Linked DNA regions of Rattus norvegicus. The protein of the gene in region 1 interacts with the protein of each later gene in a biochemical or structural test. Links are inferred from orthologs where the notes say so. Each region holds a gene or a part of one and is shown in the gene's direction. Other genes may lie near its edges. The genes, in order: Psmd4, Siah2, Prkn, Nedd4, Btrc, Stub1 and Ubqln1.

Evidence for each region.
Region 2: of the proteins of Psmd4 (region 1) and Siah2, one has a biochemical effect on the other in vitro, tested with the Homo sapiens proteins (2 studies listed by BioGRID). The link is inferred for Rattus norvegicus from reciprocal best matches to the Homo sapiens genes PSMD4 and SIAH2.
Region 3: the proteins of Psmd4 (region 1) and Prkn form a complex in vitro, tested with the Homo sapiens proteins (6 studies listed by BioGRID, with this or other methods). The link is inferred for Rattus norvegicus from reciprocal best matches to the Homo sapiens genes PSMD4 and PRKN.
Region 4: of the proteins of Psmd4 (region 1) and Nedd4, one has a biochemical effect on the other in vitro, tested with the Homo sapiens proteins (4 studies listed by BioGRID). The link is inferred for Rattus norvegicus from reciprocal best matches to the Homo sapiens genes PSMD4 and NEDD4.
Region 5: of the proteins of Psmd4 (region 1) and Btrc, one has a biochemical effect on the other in vitro, tested with the Homo sapiens proteins (2 studies listed by BioGRID). The link is inferred for Rattus norvegicus from reciprocal best matches to the Homo sapiens genes PSMD4 and BTRC.
Region 6: of the proteins of Psmd4 (region 1) and Stub1, one has a biochemical effect on the other in vitro, tested with the Homo sapiens proteins (5 studies listed by BioGRID, with this or other methods). The link is inferred for Rattus norvegicus from reciprocal best matches to the Homo sapiens genes PSMD4 and STUB1.
Region 7: the proteins of Psmd4 (region 1) and Ubqln1 form a complex in vitro, tested with the Homo sapiens proteins (6 studies listed by BioGRID and IntAct, with this or other methods). The link is inferred for Rattus norvegicus from reciprocal best matches to the Homo sapiens genes PSMD4 and UBQLN1.

What each region holds. Positions count from the first base shown.
Region 1 is NC_086020.1:185,294,402-185,298,559, reverse strand, and holds the start of Psmd4 (26S proteasome non-ATPase regulatory subunit 4), read left to right. Parts: upstream 1-1,358; 5' UTR 1,359-1,429; coding exon 1,430-1,455; intron 1,456-4,158. UniProt on the Homo sapiens protein: Component of the 26S proteasome, a multiprotein complex involved in the ATP-dependent degradation of ubiquitinated proteins.
Region 2 is NC_086020.1:145,078,876-145,083,158, reverse strand, and holds the start of Siah2 (E3 ubiquitin-protein ligase SIAH2), read left to right. Parts: upstream 1-1,483; 5' UTR 1,484-1,721; coding exon 1,722-2,141; intron 2,142-3,670; exon of another isoform or gene 3,671-4,283. UniProt on the Homo sapiens protein: E3 ubiquitin-protein ligase that mediates ubiquitination and subsequent proteasomal degradation of target proteins.
Region 3 is NC_086019.1:52,202,232-52,205,731, reverse strand, and holds part of Prkn (E3 ubiquitin-protein ligase parkin), read left to right. Parts: intron 1-378; coding exon 379-542; intron 543-3,500. UniProt on the Homo sapiens protein: Functions within a multiprotein E3 ubiquitin ligase complex, catalyzing the covalent attachment of ubiquitin moieties onto substrate proteins. Substrates include SYT11 and VDAC1.
Region 4 is NC_086026.1:82,344,795-82,347,468, forward strand, and holds part of Nedd4 (E3 ubiquitin-protein ligase NEDD4), read left to right. Parts: intron 1-1,371; coding exon 1,372-1,444; intron 1,445-2,122; coding exon 2,123-2,225; 3' UTR 2,226-2,674. UniProt on the Homo sapiens protein: E3 ubiquitin-protein ligase which accepts ubiquitin from an E2 ubiquitin-conjugating enzyme in the form of a thioester and then directly transfers the ubiquitin to targeted substrates. Specifically ubiquitinates 'Lys-63' in target proteins.
Region 5 is NC_086019.1:254,295,364-254,298,863, forward strand, and holds part of Btrc (F-box/WD repeat-containing protein 1A), read left to right. Parts: intron 1-1,063; coding exon 1,064-1,295; intron 1,296-3,500. UniProt on the Homo sapiens protein: Substrate recognition component of a SCF (SKP1-CUL1-F-box protein) E3 ubiquitin-protein ligase complex which mediates the ubiquitination and subsequent proteasomal degradation of target proteins. Recognizes and binds to phosphorylated target proteins.
Region 6 is NC_086028.1:15,354,778-15,358,716, reverse strand, and holds Stub1 (E3 ubiquitin-protein ligase CHIP), read left to right. Parts: upstream 1-1,157; 5' UTR 1,158-1,260; coding exon 1,261-1,422; intron 1,423-1,843; coding exon 1,844-2,042; intron 2,043-2,125; coding exon 2,126-2,291; intron 2,292-2,324; exon of another isoform or gene 2,325-2,456; coding exon 2,457-2,544; exon of another isoform or gene 2,545-2,727; coding exon 2,728-2,784; exon of another isoform or gene 2,785-2,870; coding exon 2,871-2,987; exon of another isoform or gene 2,988-3,065; coding exon 3,066-3,191; 3' UTR 3,192-3,439; downstream 3,440-3,939. Other genes in the region: Jmjd8 (jmjC domain-containing protein 8), read right to left, coding at 3,484-3,564, 3,643-3,777, 3,857-3,924. UniProt on the Homo sapiens protein: E3 ubiquitin-protein ligase which targets misfolded chaperone substrates towards proteasomal degradation.
Region 7 is NC_086035.1:6,442,940-6,447,239, forward strand, and holds the start of Ubqln1 (ubiquilin-1), read left to right. Parts: upstream 1-1,500; 5' UTR 1,501-1,666; coding exon 1,667-1,819; intron 1,820-4,300. UniProt on the Homo sapiens protein: Plays an important role in the regulation of different protein degradation mechanisms and pathways including ubiquitin-proteasome system (UPS), autophagy and endoplasmic reticulum-associated protein degradation (ERAD) pathway.

The sequences.
Region 1 (4,158 bases):
AGATGACCTTGACCTTGTAGCCATTCCACTTTGTAGTGAGATCACAGGCAAGCTCCAACAGGCCTTCTTTTCTTTGACCCCCAGACAAGGTCTTATTGTATATAAGACTACCCTGACTACCCTGGAACTCATTATGTAGATCAGGCTGTTGTTGAACCCACTTATCTGTCTGCCTCTGCTTCCCAGGGGTTGGTGTTAAAGGTGTTGATTAACAAACAAACCAAGATAACTTGCTGGTTTTTCCTCTGTTCTTTGGGTGAGTACATGGTGTTCATTGGGGGCTGGAGAAATGGTTCAGTGTTTAAGAGTGTTCACTGCTTTTCCTAGAGTACCAGAGTTCAGTTCCCAGCACTCAGATAGTCAGTTCACAACTGCCTGGAGCTCCAGTTCCAGGAGATTTGATTTTCTTTTTTCAGCCACTGCCAGCACCTGAATACACACACAAACTCTTAGATTTTTTTTTTCTTTTCTTTTTTTTTGGAGCTGGGGACCGAACCCAGGGCCTTGTGCTTGCTAGGCAAGCGCTCTAACACTGAGCTAAATCCCCAACCCCCACACTTAGATTTTAAAAAAAAAATTTTTTTTTAAAAATTGGTCAAAACTTTTCTGGATTCCTTCATCCTGTCAGAGTCAATACTAGAGATAGGGACTGCAAAGATTTTTTTTTTCTGTACTTAATTAAACGCAGGCAGTAGAGGGGGCAGGGAGAAAAAAAAAACGCAAGCAGTAAATAAATCAAATTTGAGGGTACAAGTGTTTATAGCAATTGCATAAACACAGTGCAATGGGAAACAGGGAGTTAAGAGTGTGATTAACGATCCTGACACATTGTCAAAATGATTATGCTTGAACTGACATATCCATAGTAGTGCATGCACACGTGTGTGTCTATGTGTTTTTCAGGCAGTCTCACTATGTAGCTATGTAGCCCAGGTTGGCCTGGAAATTGCAGATCACATCTAAGTATGATGGTGTACCATGTAAACGGGGGTGAAGCAAGGAGATCAGTTTAGCCTGAGTTCCACAGCGAATTTGCAGCCATCCTTTCTCAAACCGTAACAACAAAAACAAAACAAAAACCCAAACATATACAGAGAGCAGAGGAGGGGTAAATTACAGCTCTCCTGCCTTCCACTGCAGAATGTTGGTGCCTGGCGAGAGCTGTGCAGAGAGGTTGCACACCTGTGCAGAGAGCTAAGAGCTAGCTGCTCCGGAAGCAAGCGGCTGCTAAGGTAACCGACTCAACTGGATGAGCAACCCTTACATGTCCACGACGCCTACAAGTCCCAGAACGCACCGCGGGGCGGAGGCGGGGCAGAGGCGGGGCAGCGTGAAGACTGAGTTCTTTGATTGGTGATGAGCGCCAGGCCAATCGGAGGTGCTGTTGTTTGTCAGTCCCGGAGCCGGTCCGCAAAGGAAAGGTGGCAAGATGGTGTTGGAGAGCACTATGGTTTGGTGAGGAACTTCGGACGTGGCCGGGGGCGCGTCTGGGTTGCTGTTGCGCGTGGCGCCGAAGCCTGAGGGCCTGGGTTGGGGACTGGGCGGCCGGGCGAGATGTGGCTTTGGGGCCCGCAGGAGACAGGCAGGCGACTCCCTGAGTCATCCCGGCCCAGGAACGCAGGCCCGGGAACCCTGGTTCCCTTCCTGGACCCTGCTTCCCTGTCTCCCGTAAAGCAGACGCCAATCGCCCCTTCCACTCGCCTCCAATGTTTTTCCTCTTCTCTGTACTTTTATCTCACGTAAACCTCACAACAGCATTCAAGGAAAATAGTCCTTCATTCCATAACGAGTCTGAAGGACTTTAGGTGATCTGCTGTAGCCACACAGCCAATTAAGTGGTCGTGATGAGCAAGAGTCAAATTCAAAACTACAGTGTTCTTCTCCGATGAATTAGTTCTTACCAAGTTTACACTTGGGATGAGTACCTATTAGGAGTTAGATTAGAAACTGAGGACAAGAAAAATAAGTAAAGCTGAGAACATATTTTTTCAGGGCTACAAGAGGGCTTTGTTTTTGTGTTTTCAGATACTGGGAATTGAACCCAGAGCATCGTGAATGCTGGGAAAGTGCTCTACCAATGAGCCACACCCCTTCTAGATTGTACTTATTGTCATCGTTATTTTTTTAGATGGAGTTTTGACACTGTAGTTCTGGTTGGTTTTGAAGTCTTTATTTGAAAAGATACACAGGCTGGCCTTGAACTTGGGATGAGTATGTAGGATTATAAGCCAGCGTCCCTAGGCTCGTGTTTCTGTTTTGGAGGGCAAGGCAGAGGGTTTTCATGATCAGGACTACCTAGCAAGATTCTGTCTCAGAACAAGACAACCAGGATGCCCAGTTAAATTTGAATTTCAAGCAAATCAAGAGTAATTTTTTAGTATAAAAAGGGAATTTTTATAGGTTTTTTTTTCTTCTGGAGTTGAGGACCGAACCCAGGGCCTTGTGCTTGCTAGGCAAGCGCTCTACCACTGACCTAAATCCCCAACTCCTTAAAAAGGAATTTTAAGTGCAACCCAAATATTGCTCTTACAAGTTACTTGTGGGAGCTGGGCAGTGGTGGTGTACACCTTTAATCCCAGCACTTGGGCAGCAGAGGCAGATTGATCTTTGTGAGTTTGAAGCCAGCCTGGTCTTCAGAGCAAGTTTTAGGACAGCTCTAAAAAGATGATAAAACAAAAACAACAAAAGAGTTACTTGTTGAGGGTGAGAGGCGACTCAGTGGGTAAGAGCACTTGCTGGTCTTGCAGAGAACTAGAGTTTGGTTCCAAGCACCCGTACTGTACTGTTCACTGCTGCCTTCTTGACAGGACCAGAAGAGCCAGTGCCTTTGATCTCTGTAGATGTGCATGCAAACATACCTAAAAACAATAAAAATAAAACTCGAAAGTCATTCATTATTCACCTGAAACTTAAAATTTAACCTTAAGTCCTGTATTTTTTTCTAAGTATTCACTTCTGGGAGAGAGTATTAAAAAGAAGATGGATTTAGAATTCAAACTGTTTGCTGGTTGGCACTTAGGTTTTGCACATTGTGGGAGAATTGTAGTAACTTCTGTGTCTCATAGTATAAGTAGGTAAGCCGTACGTATGTGGTGGTGGTGTGTGGGAAGTCCTCAAAATTTAAGAGGTGTAAAGAGACATGTTGAGGAGGAGAGGTCATTACAAAGTTGCTGAAGTAAAGGTCCCATGTTGGAGAAATAGACCAGAGTGACCCTTTACACAGATTGTTGTTATAAGGTGGGAGAAGTCACTGTAGAAAGACATGTCTGAAGACTTGAGCTCTGTTCTATACCCCAATAAGGAGATTCTGAGGGTGATGGAGTTAGATCTTTGTACAGACTGGTATTGATTTAAGAATATTGATCTGACTAGATGTGGTACACACCTATAAATGATGGTTGAGACAAGGATCATGAGTTTGAGGTCAACTTGGAATGCATATTGAGGTCCTGCTTCAAAAAAAATTACTGGATTGATACATGAAAGGAAAGATTAGGACCCGTGACTTTAGTGGTCAATGTGACTGCCCAGGAACAGAAGAAGGAGACCCACCCTCCTGTTTTCTGAGGTGTCCTGCATTTCCAGGCAACAGGATTCTCTGTAGGGGCCTATTCTAAAATGCAAGTGTTTTGACTTTAGCCTTAATCTGCTGAATCAGATTCTCTTGTTAGTTTTTTTATACACGGCATTACACTTGGACAGTAAAGCTAGCCTAGAGCTCACTGTTGTGTTTATTGTTGTTATATAGAGATGTTAGCTCAGGTCAGACGCGCTGCCCCACACCTGTAATCCTGGACTTAGGAGGTAGACTCAGGAAAATCAGTTCATCTTCAGTTATAGAAAGCTCACCCTGTTTCTAAGGGAGACTGAGGTTGGGAAGGGGCAGAGTGAGAGGATCTCAGTATGTTGCCCCCAAATCCTGGATTCAAGAAGTCCTCATTCCTTGGCTTCCCAAGTAGCTGAACCTACAGGCATGCTCTGTTGCCTGTCCTGTGTTGACAGATTAATTGATTTTGCAAGACTGAGTAAGGATCAAACCCTGGGCCTTGTTGATGCTAAGCAAGTACCCCACCACAGAACTTCCTCCCAGCTGTGGTCAGGATTAAAATTATGGTGTCATGGGAAGGTTGGGTAATACCTTTAAGCCCAAGTTTTTAT
Region 2 (4,283 bases), about 40 Mb from region 1:
TGAAAGTCACAGGGCACTGTTTCACCCTGTCCTGACTAATCTGTTTTACCTACAAAGAGTAAAGCTTTACCAATTTCAGTGTCATCAGTTCAAGCACAAAACTTTTGTCCAAGCAGGATATATCCATTATATCAAAATACGGCTTGCTCCAAGCTCTCTGGCTCCTCTCTGACCTCGATGGGTTCTGAATGGTGACTGCCTGGAGACTAGGGGAACCCTTGTAGAATTCTCTTGTTGCTTGATCGGAAGGTGGGGTGTAGATGCCCCCTGCCCCACCCCAACACCCCCTTAAGGTTTAATTTTTATTTATGGGCATGTGTGTATACGATGTATACTGGTGCCAAACGGCATCAGATCCCCTGGAGCTGAGGTTATGGGCGATTGTAGGTTCTGGAAACCAAAGTTTGGTCCTCTAAGAATAGTACGTTGAGGCATCTCTCCAGCCCCTGTAGGTGCCCTTTATTCTACACCTCTAAGTCTACATCTTACTTTACACCTCTGAGACAGTCCACATGTCGGGGTGTATAAAGAAGACTCAGGAGGAATCCAGCACCAATCCTGTCAAGCTGAGGAGGGTTGGTAACAGGTACGTTGAACTCACAATCCTTTACCTTCCTCTTAAAGCCCCAGGTAAGCTTCAAAGCCTAAGGCTTGGACCAGGACTAGATATTAAGGACTCAGATAGTAGAGGGTCTCCTGTCATTTTGGGCCTCACAAACCCAACCCACGTGTATGGTATTCCTTGGAGATTTTAATTCTCCACCGAGCCAGAGATCTCCAAGAGGTCCGGGTTCTCTTGGACCGGAGGCGGCCAAATAATTCCAAGAAGCTTTCGCCAGTGGGCTTTTGAAGGAAAACCGCGGGTTTACCTCCTAGCCTTAAGGGCAGGACCACTGGAGAGTCTACCCTCATACCTAACTGCCCGGCCACACCCGAGGCCTTCGCGCGGCTCCCGCCCGACTCCGGGTCCCGCCCCCGCGTGTCAAGCTACGGGCTGAGCAGCAAGATCGCAAGCTTCTCCGGCGCGTCAATGACTCAACCCTAAAAGAAACGTGGGGATTCCGAGCCCCGCCCCTGCCCCGCCCCACCCCTGGCGCACTCGCGCGCCGTCCACGCCCACGCCGGGCCAGCAGTTGCCCTTCTGGCTGGAGTCCTGTGCGCGTCGGTGTAGGTCCCCTGGGAAGAGTCGGAAGACTTGGGCTGCGTCCTCTCCCTGCGCTGCCGGCTGGCTTCCGCCACCGCCGAGAAGCGACCCCGCGCGGCGGCGACCGACCGAGTCAAGTGTTCCCAGCGGGAAACCGCTCCGGCGCTGCCAGCTGGGCCGGGCGGAGCTGCGCGGGCCGCAGGGTGGCTCTGCCAGTCCCAGAGTGCCGGGTCGGCCGCACACGTGTCTTAGCGTCACGTCCGCGCGCGCCCCCGGGGCTTGCGTCAGCTGCGGCTCCTGAAGCGGGTGGGCCAGGGCTTTGCGCACCAGAACGCCTCCGGAGGAGGGCACCGCACGGCCGCGATCCCCGAGAGCGTCGACCACTCCGGGCGCCGCCGAGAGGATCGGCGCGGTCGCGTCCCCGCCCTCCCGGTGCTGGTCGGGTCCGCGCCCGGTCCCCGGACTGGGCGCCGTGGCGTTACCCCGGAGCCCGCCACCCGCGGGGCGCGCACCGCCTTAACCCGGGCGGCCCCGCGGCAGGCAGAAGCCCGCAGGTCCATGGTGGGCTCGGAGCGCGATGAGCCGCCCGTCCTCCACCGGCCCCAGCGCTAACAAACCCTGCAGCAAGCAGCCGCCGCCGCCTCAGACCCCGCACGCCCCGTCCCCGGCTGCGCCCCCGGCTGCCGCCACCATCTCGGCTGCGGGCCCCGGCTCGTCCGCGGTGCCCGCCGCGGCAGCGGTGATCTCAGGCCCCGGCGCCGGCGGCGGGGCCGGCCCAGTGTCCCCGCAGCACCACGAGCTGACCTCGCTCTTCGAGTGCCCGGTCTGTTTTGACTATGTCCTGCCCCCCATTCTGCAGTGCCAGGCCGGGCACCTGGTGTGTAACCAATGCCGCCAGAAGTTGAGCTGCTGCCCGACGTGCAGGGGCGCCCTAACGCCCAGCATCAGGAACCTGGCTATGGAGAAGGTCGCCTCGGCAGTTCTGTTTCCCTGTAAGGTAAGTCCAACCACCATCCGCAAATCTGCCAAGGAACCTTCCAGAGTTCCAGTGCCCTCCAGCGCACTTGAAGGCCCTGAGAAGCGAATGGCATATCACTGCTTTCCTTCTTTCTGTCTCCTTCTCCATGTGTCTGTCTCTCTAACACTCTCTCTCTCTCTCTCTCTCTCTCTCTCTCTCTCTCTCTCTCTCTCTGTGTGTGTGTGTGTGTGTGTGTGTGTGTGGGTGTGTGTGCCTATTGTTAACCGCCCACCTGTCCATTTTGGGAACTAGCAACTAGGGTTGATGTTTGCCAGAGCACTGACTGTAGATTAAGTTGGCACTTGCTGCGGGTTAGAAGCATCCCAGCTCTTTCAACCGAGTGCCGCCGCGTCCCCTGCAGGGGTGTGCTCTGTAAGGCTGGACAGCTTAACTAAAACTGGGAAGCTGACCGTGTAGATTGTGGAGGAAGGACACGGACGGTTTCCAGCAACAAGCATGGTTAGGAATGGACCCAGTGCCCAAGATCTGGGAGCTCTCTTGAGAGTGCGCTTACACAGGGGAAGCGGATACTGCCTGCTTCACTCGAGTGCGGAAAAAATCCTGCAAGCCACGCCTTCTCGCAGCCTCCCAGACTTGGGGAGAACTCTGAAATTGTGGCTGCTGTTTGGGGTTTGGTTTGGTTTGGTCTGGTTGTTGTTTATTACCTAAGCGCGACCACGAGGACTCATCGAGGACACTCAAGAGCTTTGTTAGTTCTCTTCAGTGCCAGCATTTTATTTAAAGAGTTACCTGTGCTCCTGGGGAGTAGGGAGGAGAAGCAAACCACAAGCCAAAGTGCAAGCTCTCATTCCCTTGTTCCACCTGTTCGTTTAGAGCCTACATTTACACCCGCACAGCTAAATTAATAGAATCGTTAATGTCTGCCTCTGAAAGCTTTTTTAAAAGTACCCACAGAGATAATGTTTTTTCCCTTTTACAACCAGCTTTACAAATTAATATCCTCACCTGTTTCATGTCTGAAACTTGACTTGATCTTCTGTATTTTAAATGATAGGTTACATTTGTGTGGTTATACTGTTGCCAGTACTGAAGCCCTTAAAAAAAAAAAGCCTTACAACCTCATTTATATGCCTCTCTCTAATCTAGACCTCTACCAACGAGTTCATTTTCTAAAGTTGTAGGTGGGAATAATGTTAATATTTCTGAGATTTTTTTTTAATGAAAGTAATTGTTCTACCTGAGACAGTTTAAGTTGTCTTGCATTATCTCCTCAGTGGTGATTAGTTTTTAGGGCAAGATCTGTTTTAAACTAAAAATAGCTCACTGGAGATTTTCATTTTAGACTTCCGAGTCAAATCAGTAAAATGAGTGAGTTACTTTGGTCTTCTGCCCAACTACAAGCACAGTTAAAGTAGCTTATTTGAATAAGGGTTTGAATGAGGGTTTAGGCTATAGGGTCACCTTATTAAATTGCTTGCCTTTAGCCTCACACCCGGTACTGCTTATTAATTCACTCAGTGCAGCATCTGTGCAATTTGAATTAAATATTTTCATGCCTCCTCCTTTTATTGAAAGTAGATTTTTTCCCCTCCTATAATACAACCTGGTTACAGTCGGTCTGCCCCCCTTGCTCCTCCCAGTTCCTTCCCACCTCCCCTCCCATCCAGATCCACTCCCTCTCTGTCTCTCATTAAAAAAGAACAAGCATCTAAGGGATGATAAAAATAACATAAAGACCAGGAAAAGGCACAAGGAGTCAAAGACCCCCTTGTTCTCACATTCTGGAAGTCATAATTTATACCCAGAGGACCCTTGCAGAGGTCCTTCAGGCCCTGTGCAGGCTGTGTGTCAGGGTCTGTTCTCCATCACTGTGGGTCACTCAGGATGAACTCTTTCTAGTTCTGTTCATCTGCATTCTTCTTAATGGCTGAGTAATACTCCAACGAGTAAAAGTTCCACGTGTTCTCTATCCATTCTTTAGAGAGCCATCTAGGCTGTTTCTGACTTATGGTAATTATAAATAGAGAAACAATGAGCGTGTTTGAACAGGTGTCCCTGTGGGAGGATGAAGCACCCTTTGGCTGTATGACCAAGAGTGGTAGAGCTGAGTCTTGAGGTAGATCATTTCCCATCTTCCTGAGGAACCACCACACTGATTTC
Region 3 (3,500 bases), on another chromosome or scaffold:
TGAGCATTTGTTCAGTCTGTTGGAGCAGAATATTCTATACACTCATGGGAATCTCGAGATTCCAATCAAGCAAATTCTCCGCTTGATTCCCTCTGTTCCAGAAGGACTGTGAAAGGCACAAAGCAGTCTTGGTTTGCAGGTCACTGGCCAGGGTATAAGCAGGAAACACCTTGGGAAAACTGTTTTTGTTTCTGTTTTTTGTTTTTTTTTTTTCTAACTATTGCTCTATAGAATAAACTTCTCTGTTATAAATGAGAGAAAATTTTTGTCATTCACTGGAGGGCAGGTGAGGGGCAAGAGGCTTCAGAGACATTTCACTGGCCATTAAAGGCTTGGAGTAATGTTCTTTCTTCTCTCTCTGCCCCTGGTCTTGTCTAGTGTTTGTCAGGTTCAACTCCAGCTATGGCTTCCCAGTGGAGGTCGATTCTGACACCAGCATCTTCCAGCTCAAGGAAGTGGTTGCTAAGCGACAGGGGGTTCCAGCTGACCAGCTGCGAGTGATTTTTGCTGGGAAGGAGCTGCAGAATCACCTGACAGTACAGGTGAGTCTCCCTGGGTGGGTGGTCCCTGGGATGTAGCCAGGGCCAAGGCCCTTGCAGTTTATGCTGCCAATCTGACATTCATGCCTGAGATCTAATAGAATAAATAGTGCCTGGGGATTCCTTGAACTTTACTCCACACGGCTTCATTAATTCTGACCTTCTTAATTATGCATTAAAACAGTATGCAGGAAGGACTGGAGGAACAAGTGTGAGTGAGCCAAGAGGGGGAGAAAGAAGCCAGGCGCTCGGCTTAGTGAATAAATGTTTACTGACTGAGGGAGCAGGAAGGCACAATTTCTGGGTCTGTTCAATTTTTACCTTCCTTATTCCATTTGAATCTTAATGAAGAAGGATTCAAATAAATTGTTCCCTATAAGGCTGCTCAGCCCAAGCTCTGTGAGGGATTTACAACCCGACTGTGACCCCTGGAGGACACTCACAGCTGCTGCCTGGACTACAGCAGACACTGGCCCAGGGCCCCATTTGCCGAGGGCTCTGAGCGGTGGATAGGCAGCCTGGAAATTACACAGCAAAAGTCCATCTTCGTATCTCCAAGCATATACAGAGTTATCCCTGGCCTACACCCCGATACAGAACCAAGTGAACCATGGGGTTCTGCTTCCTGTGTATCTGGCCCCTGCTGTGCCATGGAAACCCTCTTCTTTATGGCATCTTGTACATTTGGAGAAATGAGTTTTGCAGGCATCCAAGGAACTGGTTAGCAATCGATGCGCAGGCCGGTTGCCTAGAATGAGAGAACAGTGAGTGTTTTGGAGGGAAGTTCAGCAGAAATGGCCACATTTACTCAAGTGATTAGAAGCAGGGAAAAGCTCGTTCCCTCCTCTCGGTGTATGGTGGAATTGAGCCCCTGCTCCCAGTTGGATGGGGATCTGTGTTGTATTCAGACCTCAGACTGCCTAGTCCCGTCAGTCCTCTTGTGGACTGAGGTGTTCGCTGCTTTGTGAAAAGCTTTTTGGAATGTGGGTGTACAAAGAAACTATAGAAATGCAAATCACTTCTGCTATTCTCCCTGCCCCCGCTGGTGGCAGTAGGACTCACGCCCATTGTGCAGAAACTGCTGTGCCTTGCTTTCCTGCTATTTGTTTTCATAAGGGAAGTGCCTGTGCTAAGAAGTGTTTTGATTTTGTTTTTTATTTCAGTCAACTAAAAAGCTTTCTGCCATTCCTGCCAACTTCTAAACCTAAGTGGTCTCCTTCTCAAATAAATGGTTCTAAAGCTGTTTCTTGAGTCCAGATAGACTTTATTATGAGAACCATTAGATTTTAAAGCCCCTTCGCCTGTACAAGGTGGGGCGAGTGTAACAGTTAGCTGTTCCTTATTCAGTAAGATTAACTGCTGTGGGGGACTGATTTTTATAAAAATCTATGCATTGTTTCAACAGTATTAGCTTGGTTCACACTTTTAGAGCTTCCAGTGCTCAGAGCTTCTCAGGGGCTTGGGTGAAAAGGAGTTCATTCCAGAAGTCTGCTCTTTACCCGCTTAGGGCTCTAAAGTAAAGGAATTCGAGATCAAACTGTCTGCCAGCACCACATAGGATGAAATCATTGAGGTGCCATGAGGTCCAGCCTATAGTACGCACATGCTATGCATAGTTAATGCTGTATAGCCCATAGATATCGTGATGTTTCAAAGGTGCAGACTGGGAAGGTACCAGGACAGAGCTCCCAAATGGACTGAATCCAGATGAGGATTCCTCTGGTGGAAGGACAGCACCCTCCACAGCCTCGGGAGGGAAGATGGGCTTCGTCCTTCCGGAAGCTGGAGGCGATACTGAAGACAGAGGGAAAGATGGAGTCGGCAGGGCATTTGACAGAATCCTGACAGACCTGGCCCTGCAGTGAACGGGATTCCATAAAACGCCATGGGAAGGGAGCTGAATTTCCAGGGGTGCTGAGAGTTTATGAGGAGTGGATATTTATGGAGAGATATTTAACTAACCGTTGGAACCTGGGTCTGGATGTAGGGTGCAAATTTAATATTCACAGATAGTTGCCCAGAGAGAAATACTTTTACAGCAAGTGAAATAGATTCAATCACCAAGGGCTGAGCACAAAGCAGTATGAGTATCCTCATTTCGGTGACAAGGACGCGTGTCAGGAAGTACAGTCCACCCAACTGGCACTCTTGAGGCTTTCCTACAGACTCTAAATTCCGAGACTTAAAACATAAAAGCAGAACATAGCTGTTCTTAGGGGCTGAGGGGATCATTCAGTGACAAAGGTTGTCACAGAAACACAAAAACCTGAATTCAGATCCCAGAACCCACTTTAAGCCTGACGTAGCGATAGCCCTATACAGTTGCTTGTAATTCCAGTGCTCTTAAGGGGACATCAGAAGCTAACAGGGCAGCTAGCCTGGCAGCAGTAAACAAGACACCCTGCCGCAAATTCAGTGAAGGTGGGAACTGACATGTGTGCTTGTCCACACACACACACACACACACACACACACACGAATGTGTTTGTGCATATAAACACTGTACACATAGACACAAAGTTTTTTTTTTTTTAATTTCTGTTATAAGCAATGGGAATTTGGTGAAAGTGACAGAGGACTCTGTAATATGTTCAGCTCCACTTATCACTGAAAGGAAGCAGACATACTTGGAGAGTTCTCAGAGGAGAAATGCTGTCTATCAAGCTCGGCCACATGGACTAGCCCCTGCCTTTATGAATGGCTGACACTTGCGTCAAGTCATAATGAGTGTGAGTCGATTTTGCATCCATTAAGACTGTTTTCCTTAACATAATATCATGCTAAGCACATGCATGGTATTCTAACAGTGTTGATATCTTCATCTACCTATTAAATCTTTAGATTGTGTCCAGTTTTTAATGTAACAAATCAAGGCAAATGGATGTTAACACACAGGATACACATTGGAGAATTTGGCTTCTTTGTCTCACATTGCTCATTTTAAAGGCAGAAATAACTGAG
Region 4 (2,674 bases), on another chromosome or scaffold:
AAGTTACGCCTCTTGAAAACCTTCTGGCAATGATGCGTGCACATTTGGAATTGATTATGGGATTTGAGGAGGAGAGTGGAAAAGTCACAGATCAGAATGTGAGCCGGCTTATCTGGCACTTGAGATGTTGAGGATTGGAGACAGCTAAGTGGAAACTCTAAAAGAAAAAGAAAGGCAGTTTCTAAAATGTCTGTAATGAGAAAAACTGTAGACCGTGTAGCAGGGCCACATGCACACAAACTGCTCTAGGCTAGCGGTTCTCAACCTGTAGGTGGCAACCCCTGGAGGGGTGTCACATGTTGGATATTTATACTACAGTCCATACCACTAGCAAAATCACAGGTATGAAGTACCCACAGAACAACCCTATGTTGGGAGTCAGCACAAAGTGGGAGGCTGTGTTAAGTAAGGGCCGCAGCATGAGGAAGGGTGAGAACCACTCAGGAAGACTCAGGAGTCCCACTACTTGGGAAACTGAAGTACAGAGACTGACAGAAGTTTGAGGCCAGCCTCAGCTACATTGTGAGTTCCAGCACAGCCTGGACTAAGAGCAAAACCCAGTCTTGAACAGCAGACAAAGACGCCCTGCCCCATGACTGAGCAGGTCAGCCCTTGCCACCAAGCTTCATGACCTTAGTTAAGTCCTCAGAACCCACAGGTGCAGAGAGAACTCCCACAGGTTTTTCTCTGACCTCCACACATGCACATTTAGATACGGAGAAAATAATAAATACTTATAATCAAAATACTTAAAAGCTAAGACTGGCTCAGTAACAAGTGTGTTCATGGCATATGGGAGGCCCTAAATTAAATGTTGAAAAACAAATCAAACAAAACCACACAGAAACCACACAAAACCCTCCCCACGGCGACCTCATGAGCTAGGATTGTAATGACTCTCACAGCCTTCAGCTATGGTTTTTCTGTCATTTTTCAGTTTTTACAGTGGCATTACGTAATCAGGGAAAAAAATTAAAACTGGTTTCAATGAGAATCAAAAGCAAGAAGTCTGTCCGTCCGTCCGTCCATCCTTCCTTCTTTCCTTCCTACCTGTACCTGTACCTGTACCTGTACCTGTACCTGTACCTGTACCTGTAAAGAAAGCCCTGATTCAAGATGCAGCTGGGTCAGGTCTAGCAAAACGCTGAGTGCCACCTAGTGTGCCACAGTGGGGCAGAGCACAGCACCCTCAGGTGAAGTGACAGACAGTTTTATAACTCAACAGTAAATCCTAGCACAGGGGAGGCTTCATTTTCTCTTCTGATTCGTTTTCTGTGTGTACAAGTTTTATATATGGAAAAGTGTATTTTGAATTGTCTAGGGACTTGTGGGTAAAGTAAGTTAAACCACAGAAACTTGTCTTCTCCACAGGCTCAAATGGACCACAGTCCTTCACAGTGGAACAGTGGGGCACCCCTGATAAGCTGCCCAGAGCACATACCTGGTGAGTAGCTGTTCTACCCTAGACAGGACATAGTCCCTTGCTGCTGGCATAGGAGCCACTCCTACTATACAGGTGTGTGGCAGCCTTAGGAGAGACAGGAAGGGACAGGAACATGGATCCTGAAACCCATGCTGCTTGGGCTCAAAATTCAGGTAGCTAAGGATATAGAGGCCCTGGGCTGGAGAGCTTGTTCAGTGGTTAAGAGCACTGACTCTTCCTGACTTCCAGTTCCCAGCAACCACGTGGTGGGTCTCAACCATCTGTAATGGTATTAAATGCCCTCTTCTGGTGTCTGAAGACAGCTACAGTGTACTCATACATAAAATAAATTAATCTTAAAAGAAATAGAGGCCCAACTAGTTTAGTTGGCTATATATATATACATGTATGTATATATATATATATATTTTTTTTTTCTCCATTCCATGAGTATTGACCTTTTCCCCAAAGTGCTAGAACATTCCGTCTTAAAGGCTATCATGATCTACGAACCCAGTCATCTGGAGACAGGTGTGAGGGCAAGATTGCACAGGGGGTCAGGAGAGCCTCCCTGGCAGCTGTGACCTCAGAATGCAGTGATGGAACACGCTCTTGACAGGCAGCAGCGGTCTTGTGGTTACCATGGGGACGTTTCCCCCTTCACTGTCAATCCTAACCAGATTCTCTCAATCTTTTCAGCTTCAACCGCCTGGACCTGCCACCCTATGAATCCTTTGACGAACTCTGGGATAAACTTCAGATGGCGATTGAGAACACGCAGGGCTTTGATGGGGTTGATTAGATTACAAAAAACCAAGCTGTGGTGTCTTATACACCATAGTTCCTAAGCAAAAGCAAAAACAAAATCACATTTTAGCATTTTCCAGATAACTTCTAAAAGATGGCCACTGGCTCTTCAAGAGTCCAGAGGACAGTTTGTTTATCCATGATTTCAGCCACCACCACGCTGACTTGTTCCTTTGTCCAGTTGTTGGGGTTCATGTGTACGGCAGGATGTGAGTCCTGTGTGCCTGAGTTCTGACCGTATTTCATCTTGCTAGGCACATCCTTCTAAAACTACTGAGATTCCAACTGTGAAATATCTGTAATGAGTAGCTGGTGGGAAAAATTGACGCTTTTTTAAGATGAAATTTGGACAAAGAAAGTCTTTAATGATTGATTCATAAACCGCGACACACTTAGTACCACGTGTCGCTTACTTACTCTGTAGACCTGCCTAGTGTACCTTAT
Region 5 (3,500 bases), on another chromosome or scaffold:
TCTCCGCAGAGCATATGTGGAGGTCAGAGGACACCTTCTAGGAGTTGGCTCACTCCTTCCACCGTGTGGACTCCAAGGATTAATCTCTGGTCATCAGGCTTAGTGTTGGGGCTTTCTTTCCCTGCTAGCTCATTTCTCCAGTCCTTTTCTAGTATTTTTTCTGCTTTTCTCAGCAGCACTGTTTATATTATAGTGATATGTACCTCTTCAGGCAGAGTATATGTTCCTGACAGCATTCTGCTGGGTTTGTTCATTGTTGTAGTCCTGGCACCTAGAACAGTGTTGAATACATTGTAGATACTCAATAAATATCTATTAAATGACTCAGTTACTAAAAAGTATAGCCTTTAATTTTTTGATAACCAGGAAGGTGGAATTTTTTTTGAAAGAAAAGGTTAACTTGAGCTTATAAGTTATTAGACTTTTTTTTTAAATTTTTATTTATTTATTTAATGTGTATGAGTATACTGTTGCTGTCTTCAGACACACCAGAAGAGGGCATCATATCCCATTACAGATGGTTGTGAGCCACCATGTGGTTGTTGGGAATTGAACCCAGTACCTGTGAAAGAGCAGCCAGTGCTCTTAACCACTGATCCATCTCTCCAGCCTGAGTTATTAGACTTTTGTGAGGTCTGTAAATATTCATTGGTCTTTCTTTGTGTATAAAACTTATTTGACTTAAAAAAAAAAGTTAGTGTGAACAACTAATTATCTACCTGTCCAATAACTGCTACATACGATAAAGAACAAATTAAACTTTTTGCTTGCTAATAATGATTAAATGCATCTGGCTCTCAGTTTTTAATCTGTGTATCCCCGTAGATTAAACTTGTAGAAATGGATGCTTGGTCTTCCCACGGTATACCTGATTGACCTCCACTTTGGTATTTGTAAGGCTTTCCACATGATCATGGTTCAAAATACTCAATTGCAATAAATCCAACAAGAATAATTCAGTTGCAAAGATACACGTTACATACCAGACAAGGAGATTTAGACTCTTTCCCTCATTTTCAATGCTTGCTGTTAAATGATTCTTTCAATCCCCTCCCTCCAACAGACAAAACTTGCCAATGGCACCTCCAGCATGATTGTGCCCAAGCAGCGGAAACTCTCAGCAAGCTATGAGAAGGAAAAGGAGCTGTGTGTCAAGTACTTTGAGCAGTGGTCAGAGTCTGATCAAGTGGAATTTGTAGAACACCTTATATCTCAAATGTGTCATTACCAGCATGGGCACATCAACTCCTATCTAAAGCCTATGCTGCAGAGGGATTTCATAACTGCACTGCCAGGTATGTGCACATCCTTGTAAAGTCTGAGTTCATTCGCCATAGCAGTAATGGAGCTGGATCTTCAACCTTATTCTCCCCAGCCCTGCTTCTCCATAACCTAGATTCACAATGCAGCCAAGACCTGCCTCAAATTCAGCAGTCCTGTCTTAGCACTGACATGCTGGGATATCAAGCATGGTGGCACACGCCTTTAATCTCAACATTTGGGAGGTAGAGGCAGGTAGATCTTTGTGAGTTCCAGGCCAGCCTGGTCTACAAAGTGAATCCAGGACAGCCATGACTCTGTTACACAGAGAAACCCTTTGGGGGTAGGGGTGGGGCAAGAAAGAAAAAAAGAAATCAATTGCTGAGACTACAAGTGTAACACTCCTAGCTACATTTCTCTTTTTAAAATTTTTGTTTGGAGGCTGGAGAGATGGCTCAGTGGTTAAGAGCACTGGTTGCTCTTCTCAAGGACCTGAGTTCAATTCCCAGCACCCACATAGTAACTCACAGCTATCGGTAAGTCCAGCTTCAGAGGATCCAGCAACCTTATTATACAAACATATGTGCAAGCAAAACACCAATGCACATGAAATAAATTTAGAAATTCTTGTTTGCTTTGATAGTTACAGACCAAGTCATTAATTATACCTTCATCAAAATAAAAGAAAAGTCAAACTGCATAATTAAATTCCGTTTTACTTTGTCTCCTGACCCTCTGCTCAGCCTTTTTTGTTTAACCTATATGCAGTTCCAAGTCTAGTTTTGTGTTTTCCTTAACTGTTACCAGATTTGAAGCATGACTTATATGCTTTATTTTCAGTTCTTTTCATGTACTTGAATTTGGATGTGAATTTTAGCAACAAAAAAAAACCACACACACACACACACACACACACACACACACACACACACACACACACACAAAATGAGTGTTTATTTTGTTGTTGGAGTTGTTTAAGAGACAGTCTCTCTACCTAGCTCAAGCTGGCTCAAAAACCAACGTCCTCATGCATTAGCTTCTACCACATCCATTAAAAAAATGCTATTGTAGGAATTAATTTTTAAAAAGCATTTTTTAATATTTTAGAAGAAAGGTCACAATCTTCAAGAAGTGAACCCCGAATTCTGTGCAAACTAGATAAATACTCCGTCACTAAGTAAGCGTCTCCAGAGTGTCCCCTCCCTTCTTTAACAGTGATCCAGAACCCTGCCAGGCATGGAAATAGGAGGTTTACATGGGCTACACTTTCCTTAGGGAATAGTTAGTCATCGTCGACACATCAGAATACAGCTATGTATAAATACATATACATGTGCATATGGATGGTGGCTCAGCCAGTAATAGTCAGTGTGGAAGCTAAGTTCCTGAGTTTGATCCCCAGTCTCCAGAAGAGAGCTGAAAGAGGGGTACGTTTGTAGCCCCAGCCCTAGGGAGGCAGACGTAGGCAGACCCATGGGGCTCACTGACCTCCATTCACACATGTGAATACACACACACACACACACACACACACACACACACACACACACACACAGAATATAGAATACAGTTGCCCAGAACTCCACCACACAGTTCTTTGTTTTTCTTATAAAGTTCCGATCAGTGTGTTTATTTCCCTATAGATCTGGAGCCTGTTTTTTAAAAACTTTTCTTAATATGTTAAAGCCTATTTTCCTAAGTGTGGGTTATTTTAAATGATTTAGTCCAATAGTAGGTTGTATAGTGTGAATACATTCTTTACCCTTTGTTAATTTTTCTCTGTATAAATTATACCATGGTAGACATTCTTATGCATTAATTTATAGACAGTCTCAGAAGAAAAACACCCAAAGTAGAATTGTTGTATTAAAGACTATGAAGAGTTTCGGTGTGCTGTGATTTTGTTTTGTTTGTGTTTATTTTGGTTTCATGGTTTTTTTGTTTTTTTTTTTATGTTTCTGGGTATTTTGGTTTGGTATTGGGAATTGAACCCAGGGCGTCACACAAGCATGGTGCCGCTAACCCCCACCTGCTGCCCTAGAGCAGGAACCTTTTAGAGAGTTTCTTCTCCTTTTGAGATAAGCTCCTACTTTGTGACTTAAACCGACCTCAGATGTCAGCGTTCCCCCTGCCCCACCCCTCCTGTGATTGCAGCTGGGCACCCCACCAGCAACCTCACTTCTAAGGCTCTGGTCCATGCTGACAGCCTCTCCTCCAGCACACTGCACTAGCAGGAGCTG
Region 6 (3,939 bases), on another chromosome or scaffold:
TAATTCTTGGCAGGTCTATAGTCCTTATGGGAGAACCAGTTGGGGTGAAGTTCAGGCAGCAGGTCTGGGCATACATCTGCCCATAGTCCAAGTTTGCAGTGCTCTCTTCACAAGATGAAGCGTCTACAGACAGCTCTAAGGCACTAGAGATCTACAAGAGTTCTGGGGTCGAGTTACTAACCATCGGAACCATGATGGGGTCCTGGGTGACCCCTCAGGCCCCTGCTCAGAAATGCAGTGAGCTCTTGCACCTGGGCTAGAAACAGCAAGTAGTACTTGAGTGTATGCTGCAGCGTTAGCAAGCCAGGAACTGTAGCCACTGCAAAGAGTGACAAGGAGGTTCTGGGGACATTTTTTTTTTGAGTTCCTAGAGCCCCCACCCAACTTGTGCAAAGATGCTCCCTACTCACTCGAGGCAGTGGCAGAAACCACGCAGCGAAGTTTGACTGCGGCGCACAGATCGGCAGAAAGCCGAGTTTTGCTTCTCCAAGTCCCGGGTGGGGGATGTTAGCGGCCAACAGCTGATGCAGCAGCGGCTAAAAATGCCTCATCTACAGACCTGGGGTCAAAGGGTCTTGGTGCAGGCTCTCTCCACGGAAACCTGCTGGCACCGCCCTTGAAGAAGCTCCGCCCCATGACCGCAGAAGGGGAGCGTCCAGCCGCGGACCCGCAGCTACCTCTATAGCAACCGCAGCAGGTCCTTTCGAGTCAACGCGTCACGTGCTTGTTTCTCAGCCAGTAATGGCCGCAGGCAGCTTCTCCCGATTCCCGAGGAAGCCTCTCGAGGGTGGTCTGACCTGCGGGCCTCTCTCCTTCCCTCAATTCCGCCGTCCTACCAGCGGTCTAGACGTTCCCAGGCTGCCGCATGAGCCCGCGTGCGCCCCGGTGGCGCGCTAGGACCTGGGCCTAGTGACCGGCCCTCGGAGCGCCACTTCTCCAGCACGGACCGCTGCCACGTTCGCGTGGCGTGGGCCGGAGGGTGGGGCTTGACTGCCAATGGGCGGAGCCTTGGTCTGAATATTGAGGGTAGGTCCTAGTTACTGTAGGGCGGGGCCGGTAGAGAGCGCAGCGGTAGCTTCTCCGGGCTAAGCGAACCCGCTCAATCCGCGAGGCTCCGCCTTTGCTCACGTGTCCCCATGCCAGCCCCGCCCCACACCGGAAGTTCCGGTGGCGGATCGCCGACCGGGCGGAGCTGATAGCTGCGCGGGCTGCGAGATCTAGGTGGCCGGGCGCGGAGCCCAAGCCGTGCCGCGCGGCGCCATGAAGGGCAAGGAGGAAAAGGAGGGCGGCGCGCGGCTGGGCACTGGTGGCGGCGGCAGCCCTGATAAGAGCCCGAGTGCGCAAGAGCTCAAGGAGCAGGGAAACCGGCTCTTCGTGGGCCGCAAGTACCCGGAGGCGGCGGCCTGCTACGGCCGCGCCATCGTGAGTGCGGGGGGCGGGGGCGGGGGCGGGGCCCGATGTGCCTCCCAGTTCTGTGATTCCCGGACGATTTCTGGCAGCCTAGACCCGGATTGCTGTTCCCGAATCCAGGGCAGATTGACTGGGGACTGGCGGGCGGGATGCTTGATTGAGGCAAGCTAAGGATGACACCAGAAATTCTTGCCCCTTGAGGCTCCCAAGCCTAAAGCTGGTGGAGGGGTTCTGGGATTTTTCTCAAAAACAGTTGGAGGCAAGAGAGCATGGCTAGAATCCAGAGCTCTGATAACTCGGAAATCTCCAGTTCCTCTCTTCCACCCATGGGCCCCCAATGCTGGAGAATTGTCCGGATCATTGGCTTTCAGCTTGCTATTAGAGAGGGGATCAGATGAGCCCACATTCTTTGTCACCTGATCTTGGTTCCCAGACCCGGAACCCACTTGTGGCAGTGTACTACACCAACCGGGCCCTGTGCTATCTGAAGATGCAGCAGCCTGAACAGGCACTTGCTGACTGCCGGAGAGCCCTGGAGCTGGATGGGCAGTCTGTGAAGGCGCACTTCTTCCTGGGGCAGTGCCAGCTAGAGATGGAGAGTTATGATGAGGCCATTGCCAATCTGCAGCGAGGTGGGCTGACAAGATGCCAGATTGTGGGCACCTTTGGGGCCAGGATTGTTGACAAGTGTAACCTAAAGTGTCCACTCCCCCAGCCTATAGTTTGGCCAAGGAGCAGCGACTCAACTTTGGGGATGATATTCCTAGTGCCCTTCGCATTGCTAAGAAGAAGCGCTGGAACAGTATCGAGGAACGGCGCATCCACCAGGAGAGTGAGCTGCACTCCTATCTCACCAGGCTCATTGCTGCTGAGCGAGAGAGGTGGGTCCCGCCCCCAACAGTTAACACCGAGTCAACAGTGCAAGTGTTTATTAAAGGACAGCAGCCGGTACATGGGAAGCCCGGGAGGAAAGAGGCCTGAGATGGGAAGGGATCTGTCATTTCCCTGTTGGGGCCATCACCAGCTGGCTTTTTCTTGACCCTCAGGGAACTGGAAGAGTGTCAGCGGAACCACGAGGGTGATGAGGATGATGGCCACATCAGGGCCCAGCAGGCCTGCATTGAGGCCAAGCACGTGAGGGTGCCCCTAGTCCACATGTGGGTCGTTGTGTGTGTGTTTTTGTGTGTGGCATGAGAAGTGCCCCAGCCTATGGTGGCTCTGTTGGCCCATGCATGACATGAGTGCCCCGGTGGACAGAGTGTGTGTGTCTGTGTGGAGGAGACAGGAGTTGCCCACACATGGCGCTCAACTCTGCAGGATAAATACATGGCGGACATGAATGAGCTCTTCTCTCAGGTGGATGAGAAAAGAAAGGTAAGGACGGAGCCTTGAAGCTCATGGGCAGGCTCTGGTATGGTGACTTCCTTTCCAGTTGCAGACATTTCCCTCTTGTGCTGCAGAAGCGAGATATCCCTGACTACTTGTGTGGCAAGATCAGCTTTGAGCTGATGCGGGAACCCTGCATTACACCCAGTGGCATCACCTATGACCGCAAGGACATTGAGGAGCACCTGCAGGTAAGGAGGGCCTGTGGTCTCGGGACTGGGATCAGGGGACACTCAGGCCATTGAATACTCTTGACTCTGTCGTTGCAGCGCGTGGGCCATTTCGATCCTGTGACCCGGAGCCCTCTGACCCAGGAACAGCTCATCCCCAACTTAGCCATGAAGGAAGTCATTGATGCTTTCATCTCTGAGAATGGCTGGGTAGAGGACTACTGATACCCCATGTCCTGCCTGGCACCCTGGCCCAGGAGGGTCTGGAGGCAGAAGCTCCAGTCCCTGTATATAGTTTGTGTCCCTGGGCCTGCCCCCATCGGTCCTGATGATGGGTTCTGAACTGCTCCCCTTCTCAGCATATCCCTTGCTGGGCCATGAGCCTCCCTTGTCTCCCTTCTGGGCTGGAGAGCTGGTGAGGGTGGGTTGCTGCTGCTGCTGCCACTGTCCTGTAATAAAGTCTGTGAGCACTACATTGGCATGTGCTGGTGCAGTGGGCTTGCCAGTCGCTTGTTGGCTAGCCAAGGAAAGTGGATATGAAGACACTGGTGTCCAGATTGAGTGTGGCATGCCACCACCGATCAGGAAAGTACAGCGCCTGGGAGAAGGGGCACGGAAAAATAGTCTGATTCCCTAGTTTTTGGGTTAGCCCAACCCCCACCTACCAGCTACTGACTTCACCAGCCTGGATGGTACATTCTAGAGGCCGAGCTGATGGGGCTAGAGATGGGTATATTTCCAGGAGCCAGGCCAACGTGGTCTTGTTAGGGTGGAACTCAGGTGTCTTCTCAGGAGGGTAGAGGAACCAGCGCTGGAGGCAGGAATGTTAAGGTCACTCTCATGTGCTATGGACTACAAACACCAAATTCATGCCCCACCCTTGCACTGACCTTCCGACCATAGATAACCTCTGAGAAACCAGGCCCATGCCAGTGGAAGGGTACCCCAGATCCAGCTCCTGTGGGGTCAGTTG
Region 7 (4,300 bases), on another chromosome or scaffold:
ATTCCATACAAACATCAGTAAAGGTTATCTACAGCCGCTGTATTAGAGTAAAGAGATCGGGTTTCTAAAGGGCAACAGAATGAAGACTTCCAGGAGGTGGGGGATATGATGTGAGATCACAGAAAGTTAGGCAGGGAAAGGTGTGAGGGGGGCGGAAGGGGGGGATGTCATCATAGAAGGCAGCCTAGGGAAGTACACAGGGAGAATACAGCAGGAAGGAAAACCAGTCAACAGAGGAACTAATGAAGTTGGAAGGAGATTTTATATATATAAACATGAGAAAATTCCAAAATGCTTGCTTGCTCAGTGGTGGAACTTTCTACCCCAAGAACTAACAATTTTCTCACACCTAGACATAAAGCTTGTAACTTCTTCCTGTGATCGAACAACGCTGACAGAAATGTAAGTGATATCAAGTGACACTTGGGTCGCCATTTACCTTCGAAACTCTGACCCAGATTTCAAAGGGCTCTGCTAAGAAGTGTTTATGCAACAGTAGTTAATCATAGAACAGGGTTTGATGGCCTAAGAGCAGAACTATGGAATGTCTTTGCATATTAGGGTCACGGTACACTGTCAGAGTTCACGTTTGTGCAATGTTGATTAACAAAGTGCCGGACTGTATTACATGCTATCTTTGCGAATAAAGGATGTGGGAGTCACTTGTGAATGACTTATTTGTGCCTACATTATGCTGAAAATAAGTTTTCAACCATTATCCCTGATGCGAGCTGCACAGTAACGTAATGGGACAGAATACAAAAGGCACACATCAGCTGGGCTTAACTCCTACCCGTTGGGTGGACAGTCCTAGGCATTCTGTTTCTGCCCCCACGCAGCTTGGAAGACAGACAATATGGGTTGTCCTGTCTTCTGACCAAACCTGTTTGACTCCATGGAGGGAAGCTCTGGCCTCATTGAAACAGTGAGCGCCTGCGGTTGCGCTGGTGGCTCACTGGCGTCTGTTTCGTGTTCCTTTGAAGACCTTTCACCATTGGCTTAGCTTCCAAGCCCTGAGCACAAGACAAGGCAATCGTAACTCCTTCCACCCGGGCAAACACTACGCTTATTAAAATAAAGTAACTCGCCGCTATTTTATAAGCCAACGCCCACGGGGACCAGGTCGGGAGGATACCGGGACCGAGAGCAAAGGGCCAGACGTTTCTAGCAATTTCGCTGCCCGTGACGTCATCTTAGTGCACCATCATGGCGTCTTCCATGAAACCCCTGTTTAAATGCCTTTCAAAGAAGAACGGGAGACGCGAAGTGGGTTAAGTTCCCCCGCTGTGCCCAGCGCTCCTTCGACCTGGAGGAGCCCGCGCTTCGTCCGCCGGCTAAGAAAGGAACGAGCGCCGCCAGGCCATGAGTCGGCTCCTTCGCCAACGCGCTACCCGGCGTGCCTCGCGCAGCCGGCCGCCAGGAGTCGGCGCCGCGGCCAGCGCGTTACCCAGCGTGCCCCGCGCGGCGCCCGGCGACGAGCGTGGGGGAGGTGCGGGAGGAGGAAGCGGCGGCGACGCGGAGAGTCCCCGCGTCCACACGGCAGCCGATCGCCCACCGGGGCCTGCACCCGCAGCCCGCGTCTACGCACCGTCGGTGGCCCCGCAACCTGTCGCGCCCCGCGGACCCGGCCGCAGCCCCCAGTGTCGCGCTCGCCTGAGTCACCGCCATGGCCGAGAGCGCAGAGAGCGGCGGCCCACCGGGCGCTCAGGACAGTGCGGCCGACAGCGGCCCCGCAGAGCCCAAGATCATGAAGGTCACGGTGAAGACGCCTAAAGAGAAGGAAGAGTTCGCTGTGCCCGAGAACAGCTCGGTCCAGCAGGTGAGGGCGCGGGCCAGGCGGTCGCTGCGTCGCCGGCGGGGCGGGGAGGGCGGCGAAGGGGCGGCCTGGCCGGGCGGCGGCCCCGGGGAGCTCCGGTCAGGTCCCGCCGGGTTCCGCTGCGTGAGCTGTGCGGGGCCGGGACGAGTGAGCCGCGCGGCCTGGGCTGGGCTGCGCCGCAGCCGCCGAGCTCCGGGCCCCGGGACCCCAGTCCTCACAAAGGAGCCGGGAGCTGCTGGGAGGCAGGGCGCGGGCGTCGCTCGGCCTTTGACCAGGCTGGGTGGGGGTCATTGTTTTACCTGCCTGGGAATTGGAGAGGTTTGGGGGCGAGAAGCACGTGGAGGGCTAGTTCTCGGTTTTGAATGCTGAACTCTCCCCCACCTTTCAGCCTTTTATTATAAAAATTATGACGCGGAACTTGTTTTCAGTCACACTGTACTAGCTCACGCCTGAAAGGAAAAAAGTAAATGACTTTTTGATTCATAGGCGACTTGCTGCTTCTGTGAACAATACTTCCGTCATCGCTTAGCTGCCACTCATTGGATAGGTTTTTGTTTGATTTTTTTAGGGAGATGAGAAGACACCTGACTGGGTCTTAGCGGTTGCAACGGACCGCAAGGAAACATGGTTGATGTTAAGGCCGATAATTGCCTTAAAGTCTATTCAGGAAAACAAATCTTGCAGCTAATTAAGAGCCTTGGTAGAACCTATCAAATGTAGTTTTCAACACGGTCTAGAGCATTTGAATTGTTGACAGTATCAAACATTGTAAACAGTTTTATGCGAGGAAGCAGGGAACAGCCACTGGAATGTACCTGTAAGTTCTCTCAAGGCTTATCTAGTTCCAAAGGTGAAGTCGGTTTCTTTTCTGAAGCAAGAGGATGTGTGGCACATTGAGAGAAACTCTGGTTGACTGAAGCATCATTCCTTGTGCGTTAACGCTGCTATAAAAAAAAGTTTACCGTCTTTATGTTTTCCAGCAGGTGTGTCCGTCACCCACAATTGACATTTTCCTGCGTTTTCTGTATTGGGCATCTCTTACTTCTAAAATACACTTACTATTAAAAATACTGCAAATATCAGTATTACCCTTATAAGGAAGGTAAGCCACATAAATATTAGTGGCTTGAGAACAACGTCTTTGAAAAATGGTATTCCACATGATGAGAGGCGCAGTGATACGGACATGGTTGCCTTGGCTGGTTTCCCCAGCTCCATCTACACCTGTGTCAGCCAAGCAGGCCATAGTGGAGCCTGTTAGAGTGAACTACAGGCTTCCTTCCGTTCCTCTTTTTGTCACCCCTGTAAGGATTGTTTTTCCTACAAGATTGAGTTCACAGAGACCTAGTTGTCTCTCATGTGGTCTTCTGGATAAGGCTTTTTTTCTTCCTCCACTCAGCATAGTTTTTGAGATTCATCCCAGTGAGGTCTGTATCCCTCCCACGACAGAGATTTGCATACTAGGCACAGGCTTCATTCTACCACTGAACCAAGTCCTCAGCTCAGTACTTAACTGCTGAGTGGTTTTCCACACCATGAATGTGCCGTCACCTGCCCAGGGTCATCTGTTTTCAGCTGCAGTTCTTGTGAAGAGCCTCAGGAGTCCTTTTTGAGGCCATATGCTCTGTTATTGTTTAGTTGCTTTTGTTTTTATTTAAAAGACAGGCTTTCACTCTGGAAGTTTGGCTATCCTGGAACTCACACTGTGTAGACCAGACTGGCTTCAAATTCATCTGCCTTACTCATCTGAGTGTTGGTATTAAAGGCATTCACCACCATGCTCTGCCAGTTCTGTTTAGTTTTATAAGAAACATGAAAAATGTGCTATTTTGCAGTTCAGTCTACATCATATGGGTGTGTGCTCCTTCCTTCTGTCTCCTTGTTAATATTTGGTACGAATAGGGTTTTTTCTTTTTCTTTTCTTTTTAAAGATTTATTTAGTGTGTGTGAGTACACTGTAGTTGTCTTCAGACACACCAGAAGAAGGCACCAGATCCCATTACAGATGGTTGTGAGCCACCATGTGGTTGCTGGGATTTGAACTCAGGACCTCTGGAAGTGCAGTCAGTGCTCTTAACCACTGAGCCATCTCTCCAGCCCTGGTTTTTTTTTTTTTTACATTGTAACCGAGTAATGAATGTGTGGACATACTAAATTATGAAGCTCTTGAGTCTTCCTGAGAGTCCCAGTTTAGATTTCCATCTTCCTGGCAGCTTCCACATTTTATTTCAGGACATTAGAAATAATACTTTATAAATAGAAAAATTATTTAGGTGATTATCTATAGGGTTTTTTTGGGGGAGTGGGGAATAGTGACACTAGAATTTTAAATTCCGTGGAAGCTTATGTTTTGCTGTGCTGTAAAAATGTCTTTACTGGGTAAAAGTAAAGCTTTCCTAAAGTAACTTATTCTAATGTTGGTTTATCTGTTTCCTGTGGGAGCAGTAAATGTGATAAAAGTTGAAAGCATACCCTGTCCCCCCA